Daphnia pulex: one gene and its partners. The protein of the gene in region 3 purifies or fractionates together with the protein of the main gene of each other region. This does not show direct contact. Links are inferred from orthologs where the notes say so. Each region holds a gene or a part of one and is shown on either strand. Other genes may lie near its edges.

The links.
Region 1: the proteins of pre-mRNA 3'-end-processing factor FIP1-like (region 3) and cleavage and polyadenylation specificity factor 73-like purify together in Homo sapiens (affinity purification with mass spectrometry; 5 studies listed by BioGRID and IntAct, with this or other methods). This does not show direct contact. The link is inferred for Daphnia pulex from reciprocal best matches to the Homo sapiens genes FIP1L1 and CPSF3.
Region 2: the proteins of pre-mRNA 3'-end-processing factor FIP1-like (region 3) and pre-mRNA 3' end processing protein WDR33-like purify together in Homo sapiens (affinity purification with mass spectrometry; 5 studies listed by BioGRID and IntAct, with this or other methods). This does not show direct contact. The link is inferred for Daphnia pulex from reciprocal best matches to the Homo sapiens genes FIP1L1 and WDR33.

What each region holds. Positions count from the first base shown.
Region 1 is NC_060024.1:9,772,350-9,777,571, reverse strand, and holds cleavage and polyadenylation specificity factor 73-like, read right to left. Parts: upstream 3,582-5,222; 5' UTR 3,515-3,581; coding exon 3,447-3,514; intron 3,372-3,446; coding exon 3,308-3,371; intron 3,226-3,307; coding exon 3,128-3,225; intron 3,060-3,127; coding exon 2,936-3,059; intron 2,874-2,935; coding exon 2,601-2,873; intron 2,535-2,600; coding exon 2,384-2,534; intron 2,319-2,383; coding exon 2,230-2,318; intron 2,164-2,229; coding exon 2,077-2,163; intron 2,006-2,076; coding exon 1,876-2,005; intron 1,807-1,875; coding exon 1,478-1,806; intron 1,414-1,477; coding exon 1,305-1,413; intron 1,239-1,304; coding exon 1,042-1,238; intron 981-1,041; coding exon 855-980; intron 798-854; coding exon 675-797; intron 620-674; coding exon 518-619; 3' UTR 472-517; downstream 1-471. Other genes in the region: 3-ketoacyl-CoA thiolase, mitochondrial-like, read left to right, coding at 1-224, 284-368. UniProt on the Homo sapiens protein: Component of the cleavage and polyadenylation specificity factor (CPSF) complex that plays a key role in pre-mRNA 3'-end formation, recognizing the AAUAAA signal sequence and interacting with poly(A) polymerase and other factors to bring about cleavage and poly(A) addition.
Region 2 is NC_060018.1:837,225-842,623, forward strand, and holds the start of pre-mRNA 3' end processing protein WDR33-like, read right to left. Parts: upstream 3,582-5,399; 5' UTR 3,431-3,581; exon of another isoform or gene 3,256-3,430; intron 3,190-3,255; 5' UTR 3,164-3,189; coding exon 2,843-3,163; intron 2,692-2,842; coding exon 2,560-2,691; intron 2,483-2,559; coding exon 2,345-2,482; intron 2,260-2,344; coding exon 2,108-2,259; intron 1,614-2,107; coding exon 1,516-1,613; intron 1,451-1,515; coding exon 1,090-1,450; intron 1,015-1,089; coding exon 35-1,014; intron 1-34. Other genes in the region: uncharacterized protein LOC124188867, read right to left, coding at 4,388-4,627, 4,693-4,940, 5,015-5,138, 5,210-5,304, 5,370-5,399. UniProt on the Homo sapiens protein: Essential for both cleavage and polyadenylation of pre-mRNA 3' ends.
Region 3 is NC_060020.1:2,900,819-2,906,183, forward strand, and holds pre-mRNA 3'-end-processing factor FIP1-like, read right to left. Parts: upstream 3,648-5,365; 5' UTR 3,575-3,647; coding exon 3,488-3,574; intron 3,424-3,487; coding exon 3,300-3,423; intron 3,170-3,299; coding exon 2,961-3,169; intron 2,895-2,960; coding exon 2,658-2,894; intron 2,600-2,657; coding exon 2,387-2,599; intron 2,299-2,386; coding exon 2,053-2,298; intron 1,991-2,052; coding exon 1,878-1,990; intron 1,815-1,877; coding exon 1,668-1,814; intron 1,596-1,667; coding exon 1,388-1,595; 3' UTR 1,301-1,387; downstream 1-1,300. Other genes in the region: pre-mRNA-splicing factor syf1 homolog, read left to right, coding at 3,911-3,952, 4,021-4,169, 4,254-4,377, 4,446-4,870, 4,944-5,076, 5,142-5,365.

The DNA.
Region 1 (5,222 bases), on a different chromosome or scaffold from region 3:
CCAGCACCTGCCATTCGTAAAGTATTGGCTAAAGCTAATTTGCAGCTGAAGGATATTGGTGCAGTTGAAATCAACGAAGCCTTCGCGGCTCAGACTATTGCTTGCCAACGTGAACTTGATTTGGATCCTGAAGTCCTTAACGTCAATGGTGGTGCCATCGCTCTTGGTCATCCTCTTGGAGCTTCCGGCTCGCGCATTACCGCGCATTTGGTTCACGAATTGGGGTAATTAATTTTCTTTGATGCGTTGAACCATATGCTAATTATTTTACTTTTATCATTAGACGTCGCAAACTGAAATATGCTATCGGATCGGCTTGTATTGGTGGTGGTCAAGGAGTAGCTCTTCTTCTTGAGGGCATGAATTAATCGGTTGTTACTTCGTGCGGGGCAATATTAGTGCGAAGACTTTGATTTTTAAGAAATCACAATCCAGTAACAATGCAAAAAATATATGGATGGATTATAAAAATACTTTAGCAGTTGTTTATTCTTCCATTATTAAATATCAATACAAGTTATTTTACTTTTTCTGCTTTTGGTGCCAAAGATTGATATAATTTAAGTACAGCCGTTTGAACCACTTGTTGAAATCCAACATCTTCAGGACATTCCACCTCCTTTAATAAAAAAGAATTTAGATTTTTATAAGAAAACGGTAATTTTAGACGTTACCAATGCTGTGAGATCTATATTGGCTCTTTTTCCGTCAACGGTAACAATGAATTTATCTCCTTTGAACATTTTTGGAACCGCATCATCTCCAAACATATCTTGAAGCATTTCTATCAAGCATTCCTATATAAATTCACACGTTTAGACCGATATTATTCTCAAACAAATAAAATTTAGTACCTTGAAGCGGGCATGATCAACAGTCGTGGGTAGCACAATCGTCCTCGAACCTTGAAGAGATTCGCACTTTAAGATAGCTGAAAGCACTGCGTCAGCGAACATGTCGTTCACAGAATCAGCCGCCCACTAAACAAATCAAATATTAAACATTAAAGAAGTGGTCTTCACAAATCATTAAGATGCGTACTTCTAATGTAACCAGAGTTTTATCAACAATGACATCAATGGCAGAGAAAAGGCGAAATGTTTTTAGTCCTTTGTCGCTCTCGATAACTTCGACGTCAGGCGAAACGTGAGACAGGACAGCTTGTAACGTTTGCAGATTCCCGCTGTAGTGGATACCCATCCTTTGAGTTACGCTGCTTACAGTCATGTCTGTGTATTCTGCAATTCAAAAAAATTGGGTACTAAAGTTATAGAAATTAAGACTTGAATAAAAATTGTTGGTACTCGAAATATCCGACGGCGCCACAATTTGGTATTTGAAGTTTCGTTTGACCAAGACACCAGAAATGATTTGGCCTTCGACTGGTTTTTCAAACGCCAGAGATCCCATCACCTAGACAACAAGGCGTTAGAATAAAATTCATTGGGTGAATCGCTTTTACGATTTTTTAAATTACTTTGGCCGTTTTTTCGCCCTTGAAATGGAGTTCTACTGCCGCAGTGTTACGTGGATTGTATATACGGATTTGAGTGTCTGGATCATGTTCATACTCTCGGATGAGCGCCGCTTTGAGTCGGTTCATCTCGTTGGCCTCGCCGTGAACCAAAACGACATGAGGTGGCTTCAGCAAACGAATAAATTCACTGGTCTGTTGGTAGTCAGTGTGAGCGGAGAATGAAATGTAGTCAACTGAAAGCTTCATTGGTAGCTTCTGGCCAGCCATGCTGGTAATATCTTCCGGTTCTGACAAAACATGTTTTGCCAATGTTCCTTCAACACAGTACCCTTTTACGACAACAAAAATAAACGTGAACAACTAATTATATAAAAATTAAAACATTTCTTTCCACTGACCTGCGATGATGCAACCGTTTTTAGGATCTGTGCACCAAGCTTCGAAGAGTTCGCGAGATAGACCACTCTGCATCATACCGGGAGAGGCCATAATTACACAAGGGCCAACGTCTTCGAACTGATCGATACCCTGGGGAATGACAATACATTGCGTTGAATAAAGGACCATTTTATAACAGGTTATTTCAAATATTATTGTACCTTGAGACTAGAGATGTGCTTGAAGATGAAAGGATTATTGATGGCAATCTGCCGCCGAATTTTGTCGTTCATGGCATTGATATAAGTCTGCAAGAATAGAGAACCAATTAAAGTTTGATGCGATCGCTGCGAGATTTTGAATTTGATTAGTACCTGGTACACGGCCATACACTTTTGTGCAAGCGACGAGGCATAGTAGATGGGAATCTCGTGAAGTTCGGGATGCAGGCTCCAATATTCATCTAAAAGCCAATTAAAACTGATTGGAAGTTTTCTTATGCAAAAAATTACTTCTAATACCTAATACCTAGAATGAGAAGCAATTCTTGTGCTCGACCCAGTGCAAAGACCGGGATCAGACATCTGCCACCTCTATTGACAATTTCGTGGATCAGACCTGTGAAACGGCTTTCTCGATCTTCGCGCTTCTCGTGGATGTGAGTTCCGTAAGTGGATTCCTTCGAGAATAAAACAGATTATCACATGGACATATTTCGCCTTGAAATACTTCAAGCTTAACTCACGGTGATTAGGATATCGGGTCGAACAGTAGGAATCTCAGCGGCCATCAAATGTCTGTCTTCCTGTCGGGAAAAGTCCCCAGTGTAAAGCACTTTCACGCCGGCAATTTCAATCATGAACATAGCGGCGCCCAGAACATGGCCTGCGTTGTAAGCCCAGAAACGAACTCCACCAACATCCTTCTCTTCGTGAAAGTTGATAACTTCAATCTTTTCCATGGATGCCTCCAGATCTGCCTCTGTGTAGAGCATTTGATCTGTGGAAATGTTGCTGACCTGTTGGAAATATTACTTGTGAGCACTGCATCGACTAAAACTCAAATGCCTTTTTTTCTTACTTTAATATAATCAGAGAGCAGCCAACGGTAAATTGCTTTTGTGGCATGTGTCATGAAGCACCGTCCCTTGAATGTTGTTTTCTGTAAAAACCATGGAAGTGCCCCACAGTGATCCAAATGGAAACTATTGAAAAATACAATTGTACATTAGCTATTGACAATAAAACTTAAGAAAACAAAACCAAAACTCACTGTGAAATGAGTAACAAGTCAATTTGATCTGCTTCAATCAAATCAACGAAAGGCAGTGCATCCATTCCCGATAAACCTGGATGAATTCCACAATCCAGCTAGAAAATGAAAAACATAATCAATGAAATGCCCACATTCAATGGCGATTCAACTCTGTACAACAAAAACACGTTTGTTTACCATGATTTTCTTGCCCTTGAATTCGAGCATGATACATGATCGACCAACTTCTTGTCCGGCTCCCCTGAAAAGTAATGTAATAAAAAACACCCGTGAATTTTCCAAATACAAATTAAAAGTCAATTGACATTATATTTACAATGGCCTAATAACCAATAAATCACTTTCTTCGGCCGGGACCTGTACGTCATTTTTACGTTTAGCCATTTTGTCTTTTGTTTTTCTTGGGTCTACAAGCTGTTGCCAGGTAAACTTTTATGTCCACTCCGCGAGTTGACACATCACATCCGCTTTCGCCTTTTTTACTTTGATAAAATCATAAAAATATTACGTAGTATACATTTATTAATTATGCAATCTACGCCGTGAAGTTTTATGGCATTTAGAATTTGATATATTTTTTCGGGGTCGATGATTTAAGATATTAACGGACTGACGGCGTTTTTACTATTCAATCTCGACTTTTTTGTCCACGGGTTTTAAAATTCGTGAAACTCTACTCGATTTGAGAAATGGTGGCATAAATAACCGATGATTATGCGTGGGAATGAAGCACCTGCACCGAAAGCTACACACGAGATGGTTTCAAGTCTCTGCCAAGAGTGGCGGAGTCTAAAAGAAGCAGCGATCCCAGATGAGGTAAAAATGTAGACCCAAAAAGCGACCGGCAAACTGTTCGTTCGTGAAATGTCAAGAAGATTCTCCTTTTATAACTTTTGATTATATCAACTTCACCATTTGGTCTTTCTGCAGTAACTCGTCAAGCTCGTACACACACACGGTGTAGCTATAGGTTGGGCCGAGTTTCCATGAAGTTTTACTAGGATGCATGTAACATGATTGTTTCATGAATCACGATTATGAACCTCCAGTGCATCGAGCACGGTATATGTGGGCCAGGTATACATATACATGTGTGTGTGTAAGCTATAAAGTTCACGTTTGTCTCCCTGCAGTTGACAATAAATTTTGGCGAAAAATATCCAGCGAAAAAACAAGACATTGAAACGCATTTCCTACGTGACAGCACATTATTCGCTGATACGGAAAACAATTGAACGTGGGAGCTGTGTCGAGTGTGGGTAGTTTTTTCCTATTAAATATCAAAGCGTCTTCATAATTTCTTAGTGCAAACGCACACACACACCCACACCTGCACACAGACACACGGTTGCGTGCAAGCAAGCAATCGCACCGCAGGCTCCGCGAGCGGATTTCTCGGCTGATTCTAATTGCATAACATTTGTCTGGCCGATTTGAGAGAGTCATCGCCGTCTTTATCGAACCTTGGCGCACATCCCTCCGGACAGAATAAACGTGTATATAAATAAACTTGCTGCTCTATTGGATAGACGTATATACAAGGAGAAGAAGGAACCTGTTCCGTTTCCCACTATTACGAATTCACCTGCCTTTAACGCGGCCGTCCGTCCGTCCGGAGATGCCTCGTGCCAGAAGACTGTCAGTCGGTTGTCATGGCGGCGTATAGATGTGAACACACCTGTCCTTCTACACGAGATCACTATCATCCGCTCATCCGGAAATTAAAAGTTAAAAAAAAGTTTTTATCAAAAAGAACGTTCGAAATCGATTGGAAATTTCGAGGAAATTTCAAATCTTTGAAAAAGTGAACAAAACTGTCAACAGCATTGAAAGTGAATAATACAGTATAGCACGCATACGTCATCTCTCTGGCTGCCTTTTGGAGAGAGAGAGATTTCCAAAACGTTGGAGAGAGCCGATTCCGGATGATAATATTTTCCAGCCCCCCCCATATTTATATAAGCGGATTTGCCCAGTTTTGTCCACTTGGCGCCAGACACGAACACAAATCTAAATCTATCGATATCCAGCAGGACCATGTTGTAGTAGTTTTACTTGCTCATGTGCTGATCCGGCTTATTATATATTCGGG
Region 2 (5,399 bases), on a different chromosome or scaffold from region 3:
AACAGCAGAACAATCATTTATGCAAATTAATTACCTCTCTGAGGGAAGTCTCCTAGAAGACCACCAGTTGGTGTTGGACCAATTCCTGAATGACCCCTGTTGTAGCCCGGAGAGTCGTCAAGAACAGGTGTTCGAGAGCGCGGATAGAAATCGTCGTCGTCCAATTCTCGATCTTGATTGTACTCGCCAGTTGGAACTACTTCGGGTTTAGTCTCCTCCTCCTCAACAGTAACTTTCAAGCCCATCGAAGATAGAACCTGATTAAACTCTTCTTCGCCAGTACGAATGGCTTTCTCTAACTCTGAATCGGCTTCGATGGACAGTATCGTGCCATCGATTATGACAGCTGTCGGAGTGGGAAGTTGAGTAACAGGCAACGACTGAGCCGTGTCGAGCAATTCTTGCAACTGCTCTGGATCATTAGCCGGTAGGCCGAACAGGGTCAGAGATGCGCGACCCAACTGTTCCATTCCAAAGGCAACGGGATCAACACCAAGGACGTGATCCTCTTCATCAGACAGTACACCCGATGCTGACGATAGGCTGGGAGTGGGTAAGATGGCTGGTTTCTTACTAGCACTGCTCTCATTCCATTGTGCCTGGAAGTGACGTGGAATTGGTTTGGCATACGGAACTTTCTTGATGGGTTTCACGTCTTGTGCTAATGGTTCCACATCCAGACCAGGAATCATGCCTGCGCTTAATAAACTGAGGCTACTCTGACCGAGTTGTCCGTCTCCGCCTTCTGCTTCCACTTTGTCTTCGGGTCCCATTCCTGGGATATTGGGAGCGTGATGGTCATCCAGCAACTCGGCGTCTTCGGGCATCACTCCAGGCGGTAACGTGTTGAGATTGTATTTGTCCCTCATCTTATCGCCGGGTCTGTTTCGTGTCCAGAACTTTGACGTGTGGTCATTCGAACCCGAACAGAGAATGTGTCCGATCGGATGCCAGGCAAGAGACCAAATGAGACTTTCATGAGCTTGATCGATAGCACCAACTTCTTTGTCCGTTCTATGTTTTCAAAGCAAAACAGAAAAAGAGTTAGGGTAAGGTTTGAAAAATACACGACTTAATAAACAAAATTACCCAACGTTCCAGAAGAATATAGCTCCGTCAGATCCACCGCTACAGAAAAGTTCTTCGTGAAATGGATGCCACGAAAGACAGGATGCTTCCTTCTTGTGACCGCGGAAAGTTTGCAATTCTTGATCAAGCCGACGGATGTCAAATAGCTTGATCAAATGATCTCTGGAAGCGGTGATGAGCCACTGGCCGTTCTTGTTCCATTTTGCGTCCATAACTGTGCTTTTATGGGCGTGCAGCGTAGCTAATGATTGACCAGATTTGGGATCCCACAGTTTGACTGGTTGCTGGTTGTCTTTGCTGCCTGAAATGACTAGACCCTTTTGCGGGTGCCAATCGACGCATTTGACATCAGCTCCGTGCCCTAATGGAAACAATTGATGGACATGAAGTAGGCTTGCAGAAAAAACAAAACAATTAGTTGGGTACCTCGAAGAATTTTTTCCTCCTGACAGCGGACAAAATCCCATATTCGCACAGTTCCATCGTCGGAGCAAGAGGCCAATTTTTGATCCGTTGGACTAAAACTGGATACACAAAAACGTGGAGGGTCTTTAATTGTAATTGAATACCCTTAAAATGGTTTTATAATCGTCAAGGTAGATTAATTGAAAATGTTGACTTTGTGGATAAAAGAAGTTTAATTGGGGTAGAAAAGTATGGGTCATTTGAAAAGTTAACCGTAAGTCCCGACAAGTATTTCGATCTCGTATACGCCTATTGCAATTAGGCAATATCGGGTGCGCAGAGTTTCATAAACGAATCGTATAAAATGTTTTACTTCAAAATCGTATAGAGGGTTGAAAAAGAAGTCTCTTTTATTTTCCTCAGTTGCATCTATCACAGATCAGTTGTTCTTGGTATGTAGGATTTTCTTTTTTTTTCTCTTTTACTTTCAAGCGTACTTGTATTATTGGGCAATGAGCATTTATAGAAGAAAAGATTGGGAAAAGTTCGGAGGTTATACGTATCACAGCAATGAAATTTGATTTTTATTTTGGTTTGGTTTTGGTTTCAATACCTGATGCCCCGAATGGCTTCTTTGTGAGCTTGAAACATCTTGACGTTATTCATATTTGACTGCCAGTATTTGATGTAGCCGCCATGGTCCCCCGTCACCATCCAGATATCGTTGTGGGACCATACCATGCTACGGACCGGACTGTCGTGAGCCTATTTAAAGGGTAAGAAGGATTAGATTAATAATTACTCGTTACCGTGTTATTTCTTAGGAGTACTATTTACGGATTTTTCATACCTGTAAAATAGTTTCAAAATTGAACGTCAGGCCGTTCCACAGGGTAAACTCGCCGCTTGATGCCCCTGTGATTAAACGACGGCCTTCAGGAGTCCAAGTAAGGCAAAATACTGGACAACGAATTTTATTTGTTGCCACCTTTCGAGGTAAATTCAAAGAAAAAAAAAGATAAATAGAATAATTCAAAATCGGGCTTTCCATCTATAATGCATTACTTTAGTAAAACGTGTTGTTATGGCATTGCTGGGCGTATCCAAATAGCAAGAGGGAGGAACCATTTCTGGATAATAACACACGTCGGGTTGAAGACTTCGCCTGTCTCTGGCGTCCCGCTGCCAGACTCTTGTCTAAATTTAAGTCAAGATAATACTATATAAATACAAATTGTATTTGATAAAACTCTGAACATATAAATTAAAGGAAATATTAAAAATATAAACATGTTCTAACTACAAGAGAAGAAAGGCAATCCTTGTATTTACAAGCTTCTCAATTTACCTCTAGCATACGAATCACTGAAGAGTAATAATCTACAGTTTTGCGCATTGAGCTCTTGCGCAACTGTTTGGAATCATAGTCTGACCGATCTTGGCCAGGCTTAGGGTATGGTCTATTGAAGGGATGAAACATGTGGCGACCAGGTGGAATTGGTGGTCTCAATGGTTCACTTCCTGGAACAATCCTAGGTAATCCTGCTCCAAGGAAAGAATTATTTCCTGCATTTGCAGGGCTCTGGCTGGGGCCAGTGGCATGCCTCGATTGAAATGGTGACTGATTCATGCCATTGGCACCAGGATAATATGCCATTTGGGTTGCCATTTTTCTGATAATAATTAGTTAAATAGCTGAAAAAAAGACAATAAAAAATTTTAGTTAATTGAAGAACAAGTTTATGTAAACATGAGAGAAACCGTTATGTGCACACCGCACGTCAACTACTTGTTTCGTCAGAAAATGAAAACGCCCAATTTCCACAGATTTTAAGTGAAATAAGTACTTAAAAATTTACATTTAAATTTTCGATCAATGCCGACAATCGGCGCTGATGATATAAGTCTGTAAATCCCCGATAAAAAATGCACTCACCTAAAATGTTCAAGAGATGTTCTGTTGCCTGCTCAGCGCCATTTTGCAATGTTTGGCTGCGGCATAAGGCATTGCCTAGTTGCCATATCAAACGTAGGTATCTCTCGATCCGACAGAAAGAAGAAAACAATAAAATTCAAATATTCGATTGATTGAAATTATCAATCAATAAACCAAATTTTAAAAAATATAAATAATTTAAATAATTCTGGGAAAAGTATAATTTGATAACGATAAAAAATTTAATAATAACAAAAAATTCACAAATTTTACGTTGAAATAGCGCTGAAGAATGGTTCGTAATCGGTAATCGTTGAAACTTGAAAGGAAAAAACTCAAAAAAGAAAAGAAGGGATTGCGTGTTATCCTTTTTGGTACTATATAATAAACCGACGGTATGTTTACGGTCTCGATACTCTCGAAGAACAAATATAATGTTATATCATTTTTTCTGATTCTATTTATGTTAGATCAGATCTATTATCCGTTTTTTTTTATTACAACAACGAGTTAGAAAAATGTGATAACGTGTATCGAGATTGGACATAGCACTATTGATAATCAATACCTGTTCACCTCAACAATCCAAACAAAGGTGACCAGACGAGTTTCTAAAGTCAACTCGTTATCCTGTATCTTTTTATTTTTATTTTTATTTTTCGTGCAAGTCGTGCGGTTCGAAGACGAATTGTAATCCCGACACAAAACTGAAACACCTTAAACAGGAAATCAGTTCGACAAAATTTAACGGTTTATTTGAATTATGTACATAACAGTTCCATGCCAAGAGAAAGTTTGAGCTAATTCACACAGCAATTAGCTCAAAGAAACGCTTTTACTCTTTTTAGGGAAAAGTGTTGTTAATAAATATACGTATTTATACAATATTTACAGAAGTTGTTAGGCTGGATATTACAGTAACACCAGCTTCATCTGTCCACTCGTTATAGATTTTACTCACGCAGTTTCCGTTTCATATCTAAGCGGTAAACGAACTTCGTCGTTGTCAGATCTATAAATGTCTGAAATGTTGTTCGCTCCTGTATCGGAATCCAAATTGATGGTACAGGATTCCTCTGGTTTGTCGCCTTTTACAAGATGATAGTCATTTAGCAGTGAAGGTTGCACGATGACGTAGCTATTTCTGACAAGCTGTTCGTAGCTGGGCGGTAGGTCCGTTTTGATTTCTTTATTCTGCTTCAGCCAGAGAACGGAAGGTTATCAAAGTTATCCAATTAGAAATTATGTTTCATTATGCTTACGCGTCTGAGGAGATGCGCAAAAAAGCAGCAGTAACAAAAGGTTCCCAGTAGCATGACAACACCAAGCGTGAATAAGATAAACGCGCTTTGAGCAATCCATTCCGGCACTGTGTTGGTTGATTGCTGCTGTTTTCTGAATTGATCACTTTCTTGTTCCGGCAGATTTTTTTTGGCATTCGTATTTTGAGGCGCAAACTTTAAGGGAGCATTTAAGTTTACTAATGCTGCTGGGCTTTTGGTTTTTACGACTAAAATCGAATAGAAAAACGGGTAAATTTAAACAATCGAATTTAAAAAAATTGTTTGTTAAAGAAACACTAACCTTTTCTAGTAGAAGGAATGTCTTCTACAAATCGTTTCGGGTTCACAATAGCACCCGTTACATCCAATAAAGTTTGGAAGAAAGTCATGTTGCTTTGTAAATCATGTAACCAATCAATCGACATCTATAACAATTAGAGAACACACAACTTAGACTCGTTTTAAATGAGCATTAAAGACATCTATTAATTTTTACCGAGTACATTCTGTTGTATTCCTTTTGAGCATCCGTACAGCCTTCGAAGCATGCAGTTTTCTTTTCCATTTCATTGCCATATGCCTCGGAGCAAGCTTATAAGAGAATATTTAAAATAAGACGAGTTGTTTAATTGGTCATTATAAGTAACACCACTTACATTGATGGCAGCTCAGAAGTGCAGCCGCGT
Region 3 (5,365 bases):
GTTGCGCTTGCTTATTGATTTTGTTTTCTCTGCTTCTGTGTTTCTTCGTAAATTTCTACAAGCTACACACTCCGTTTGGGAGATTGGAGGTGCCGTTGCCAATCAAGAAAAACGAAACAACTCCTTTCACCACGATTTGTTTATTTCATTTTTTTTTTGTTCCTTGTTTTGTTCATTGCTTCTCCCTTCCTTCATTGACTTGAGAAATGACATCAATTTCCCCTTACTTGATCCCAAAACAGAATTTCCCATCCTCAATTAGCGTTTTGGTTTTCTGTAAAGTGTACAGCGGCAAAAGTGAAAAGAGCGAACCTTTTCCATTATTTTACATAACAAAAACCAAGCGAAGTAAAAACAGTGGAAAGATTTTTGAAGGAAAATGCTCTTTTCTCTCCTTTTTCTCCACCCATCGACTGTAAATTTACGTTGTGTGCGGCAGTCAAGCTGTGTGGTGTGACCCCCACACACTCATTCGCTACGATACGTCACCAACTTTGTGGGTCCTTTTTTTGCGGATTTCTCCAAAACTTTCAACTCCTCGATTTCCTATTGTTTTTTTTTCTTTTTTCAGTTGTAGAACGCCGGTCCGCTTCGTAGATTTCCTTTATTGCTGACGCTACTTGGTTTATTTCAAATTCTTTGCTCTTTATCCCGTGGATTCTTCTCACACGGACCAATATTTTGTGAATTGTTTCTTTTTTCTCTTTAATTCTCACCAACTTCCTTTTGGACATTTGTCCCTTCTTTTCTTGTGTAGCTCTCCCCTTCCTACAATCCCTTGGTTTTTGCGTCAGTTATTTCCTGATTTTGGCTTTTATTTCGACCTTTATTATTAGAATGTATCCTTGTAAACGCTGGTGTTATGTATTGAAATTACGAAATGCTGTAAAAAATATCACTAGTGCTCTTTCCTCCCCTATCCCACCCCCCTTGTAAACATGATTCATGTACAAAAAAATCGTCCCCTCCAGAATTCGCTCTTCGACATCCCACATCCGCTTCCTTCCTCAAATCCTTTTTTTCTGGAAAATCAACGCTTCTCTCTTTCAATCTCTCCATCGAAAAGACAGTTTTCCTTTTTTTTAATATTAAATTCTGTGGTTGGAAAAAAGACAACACCTCCATATGTATTTCCGTAATAGCACACACTCTTTGTGCAACCGACTTTACCCTCTTTCATTTTTGAAAAAAAATACATCCCGAATATATGCGTTGGAATCTTTTCTTTTTGAATCTTATTCGATGGGCTGAAATAAATTGTGATTAAGACGAATAACTCAGGAAAATCAACAAAAATAGGTAAATGAAAAAAGGAGTGTATTTTTTTAAATTGGGCCAATTGCGCAAAATTTAACAAAGGCAGGGAGTGAAATCCGAGTATCGAAAACTAATCAGACGAGCTTTTGCTTTTACTTCTGTCCCTCTTTGAGCGCTTGGAGGAACGCTTATGAGAAGTGGGACTCCGACTCCGACTTTTACTGCCTCGGTGACGACGTCTACGATCACTACGGTCTCTTTCTCCTCGGTCACGATCACGATCTCTTTCCCGGTCACGGCCACTTACACGCTCTTTGTCCTTATCCGAGCGTCGATCCCTGTGTAAGTTGAACGAAATATATCAATTGCATTTTCAGAAGAAGCTCGTCAACGTTTGATTTTCCTCTTACCGTTTGTCGCGATCTCGGTCTCTATCGCGGTCACGATCCCTTTCTCTGTCTTTGCCTCGATCCTTTTCCACTTCTTTTTCTTTTTCTCGGTCGTCTTTAGGGGAGCGACTGCGCGAGCTACGGCGCCTTCGACTGCTGCTGCTTATCCTATTTGCAAGGAAGAGCTAATCAAATGCTGTACGGAGATCGAGTACCACTTATATACAGTACCGAGATTCTTCTCCAGGAACAGGAGGGGTCCCCAGGCTCTCTCTTCTTTGCTTTCCCGGTGGGTTCATTCCCATTGGTAGTGGTATTCCCATAGGTGGTGGTCCTCTCCAGTCCTAAGAGGAAAAAGTTATTTTTATTTTGTTTTGTTTTCTGTTATGGTCTTTAAAATCCTTACCGAAGATCCCCACTGTGAATCCTGAGTAGGTTCGTATTGGTAATAATCATCGCCAGGAGCTCCTGGGCCAGCCATGAACTCATTGGCGTAGGGATCAGGTACTATAGGTGGTGGTGGTAACATCATTGGTGGTGGAATTACTGGTGGCGGCATACCAAATGGAGGAGGTAGAGCCATATTTGGAAAACCAGGAGGAGGACGTGAGAAATCGATCGATACGGGAGGTTTCTCCACAGGAGCTTCAGGCTGATATTAAAATGAAATTTAAATAATAAACTTTAAAGTTTTTTGGTTGACTTTGGATGAATATTTTATTAAGGATACGGGGCCTTACCACTTCGGGAGGTTGCTCCTCCATAGAAGGAGCAGGTGAAACGCCTGATTCTGGTCGGCGTGAAGATAGATTCCCTCCACCAATGACATCAATGGCACCAGCCATTTTGCGTGCTGGCGGAGGGCCTGCTTTTTTCACAACCACTGACCCCGCATATTTTGAATTTTCGTTAACCACTGATATCGGAATCGCTTGGGCCGGGGTCGCCATCATCTGAATCAAAAAATAATAATATCGTCTTTGAGCTTCATTTGTTTACGTATTTTATTACCTTGGGTGGGGGTCCTAATCCAAGGCTAGCCGGAACACCAGCCCCAGACTCCATACGGGATCGCCTTTGTCTCTCACAATATGCTTGCCACGTTATTTCATTGAAACCGTAATTAAAATAATCAGTGATATCAGCACCAGGCTTCCTCCAAGGTTTATCTTCCAGCGAATCCAAACTAAATTCATGTGCTGGTACACCGTTAATCGCCATTGAGCCTTCGAACTCTTCCACAGTGAACTTAAGATAAGATACATATGTTAAAAACAAACTCTTGCATCAAACATGATGTAGCTCAATGTATACTTTGCTCTTTTCCCCCAATCCTTGTGCCGTTGTTCCAGCTGTTCCTCTTTTGACATTAAAACCAGCATAAGCTGCTGGGCCAGATTTTATGTCACCAATCGTGATTTGTACGTCATCATCACTTTCATCATCCTCATCGTCATCATTGTCTTGATCTTCATCTTGTCTCTCATCCTTTTCTTCGTTAGTCTCTGCAGCTTCTTCTGGATCTTTTACAATAGAAAATACAGGATGTTAAAACTGTTATGGGAAAACCAGACAAGCGATTCAACACAGGGAAAGAGACAAGGGATAATAGTTGAAGAACTTTTCCATAATTAAAAATGTACATGAAATTACCATAGCCTTCTCCAGCGTATTCCGTATTTCCGTCATTTCTGTCTATGGCAATATGATCTTCATTTTCGATTTCGTACATTTCTCCATTACCGGTGGTGTCTTGGTCGATTTTTCCATCATCGCCCTGAAAAAAAAAGAGACAAGTATCAATTTCAGTTGACGAACAATAATTTTTTTTTTAAACTCACGTATTCATCTGGTAACTGTTCCGAGGAATAAGGGAATTGTGAATTAGAATTATCTGCCTCATCTGGGTGCCGGACAGTGTCGGCCATATTCGGTTGTAAACAGCAGAAGACCCCACTTCAATTTAGGCCTGAGGGGACAAACAACAGCGAATGTACGCTTGTGGCTTGTCGGCTGTCGCTGTTTCACATCAAACGCAAAAATAAGGTATTTTTACTATAAAAACTTGTGATAATCCATTTTTATAATGATCTCGTTATATAAAAAGACGCTATTAGGGACAAAATTCAACTTTAATTTGGGTTAGACGTAAGTGTGCAACTTGGCAACACTTCACCCGGCAGACGTGCATTTACGTTTGGTTCGTAAATTTATTTGTTAAATTTTATTTGAGCCGAGTGGCTGCGAGAAAATTCATAAACAAAATGGATAAAAGTATAGGGAAGAAAACTGGAGACATTGTTTTGGTAATAATACATTGTTTTATATTGAAGTTGACTAATAGGTTTTAACAATATGTCTTCTGTCTTTAAAGTGTGAAGAAGATTTAGCGTATGAAGAGGAGATTCTACGGAACCCTTACTCTGTCAAACATTGGCTTCGCTATTGCGAGTTCAAAAAGGATGCCCCTCCTGTTGTTGTCAATTTGATTTATGAGAGAGCTTTGAAGGAAATGCCTGGCAGGTTCGTTTGATTGGTTCTTGTAGTAGTACATAGTAAATAAGTTTGTACTCATTTTCAACTATCCACATGTTTGTCTCTTCACAGTTACAAACTATGGTACAGTTATCTCTGCCTAAGAAGGAAGCAAACTAAAGGTCGCTGTATAACAGATCCACTGTATGAAGATGCCAACAATACTTTTGAAAGAGCATTGGTATTCATGCACAAGGTATCTTAAATGCCAATTATATTATTATCACACATTATTAAATACCATGTTTTTAATGAATACCATAGATGCCAAGGATTTGGATGGACTATTGCAAGTTTCTGACTCTTCAACAGAAGATTACCACTACGAGAAAGGTCTTTGACCGTGCTCTAAGAGCCTTGCCAATCACCCAGCATTCCAGAATTTGGCCCCTCTACTTGAAGTTTGTTAAAATGCATCCAATACCAGAAACAGCTGTTCGAGTTTTCCGTCGTTTTCTTAAACTATCGACCGAAGATGCAGAGGAATTTGTCGATTACTTAAAATCTATTGACAGACTTGATGAGGCAGCTGTTAAACTTGCCCAGATTGTGAACAAGGACAGCTTTGTTTCGAAGACAGGAAAATCAAACCACCAACTGTGGAATGAACTGTGCGAACTTAATTCGAAAAATCCCAAGCAAATTAAAAGTCTTAACGTGGATGCAATCATTCGAGGAGGTCTTCGACGGTGAGTGTCTGGAAAAAAATTAAATGCAAATATTTTTACAAACATAGGAATAATTTACTGGATTCTTATGTAGGTACACTGATCAACTTGGCCAGCTTTGGAATTCCCTTGCCGATTACTATATTAGAAGTGGTTTGTTTGAAAGAGCAAGAGATATTTACGAAGAAGCCATTCAGACAGTTACTACAGTACGAGACTTCACACAGGTAAAATACTTTGTGGTCGTCTTATTTAATGCGAATCAAGTTAACGTTTTTCTGATTTACGACAGGTGTTTGATGCCTATGCCCAGTTTGAAGAGTTGAATTTGAATCATATGATGGAAGAGATTGGTCAGAAACCTAATCCTACAGAAGACGATGATATTGAAGTTGAGTTGAGGATGGCCCGCTTTGAGGATTTAATGGATCGCCGGCCCTTGCTATTGAATTCTGTTCTTTTACGTCAAAACCCCCATAATGTCGCCGAGTGGCATAAACGAGTCCAGCTTTATGA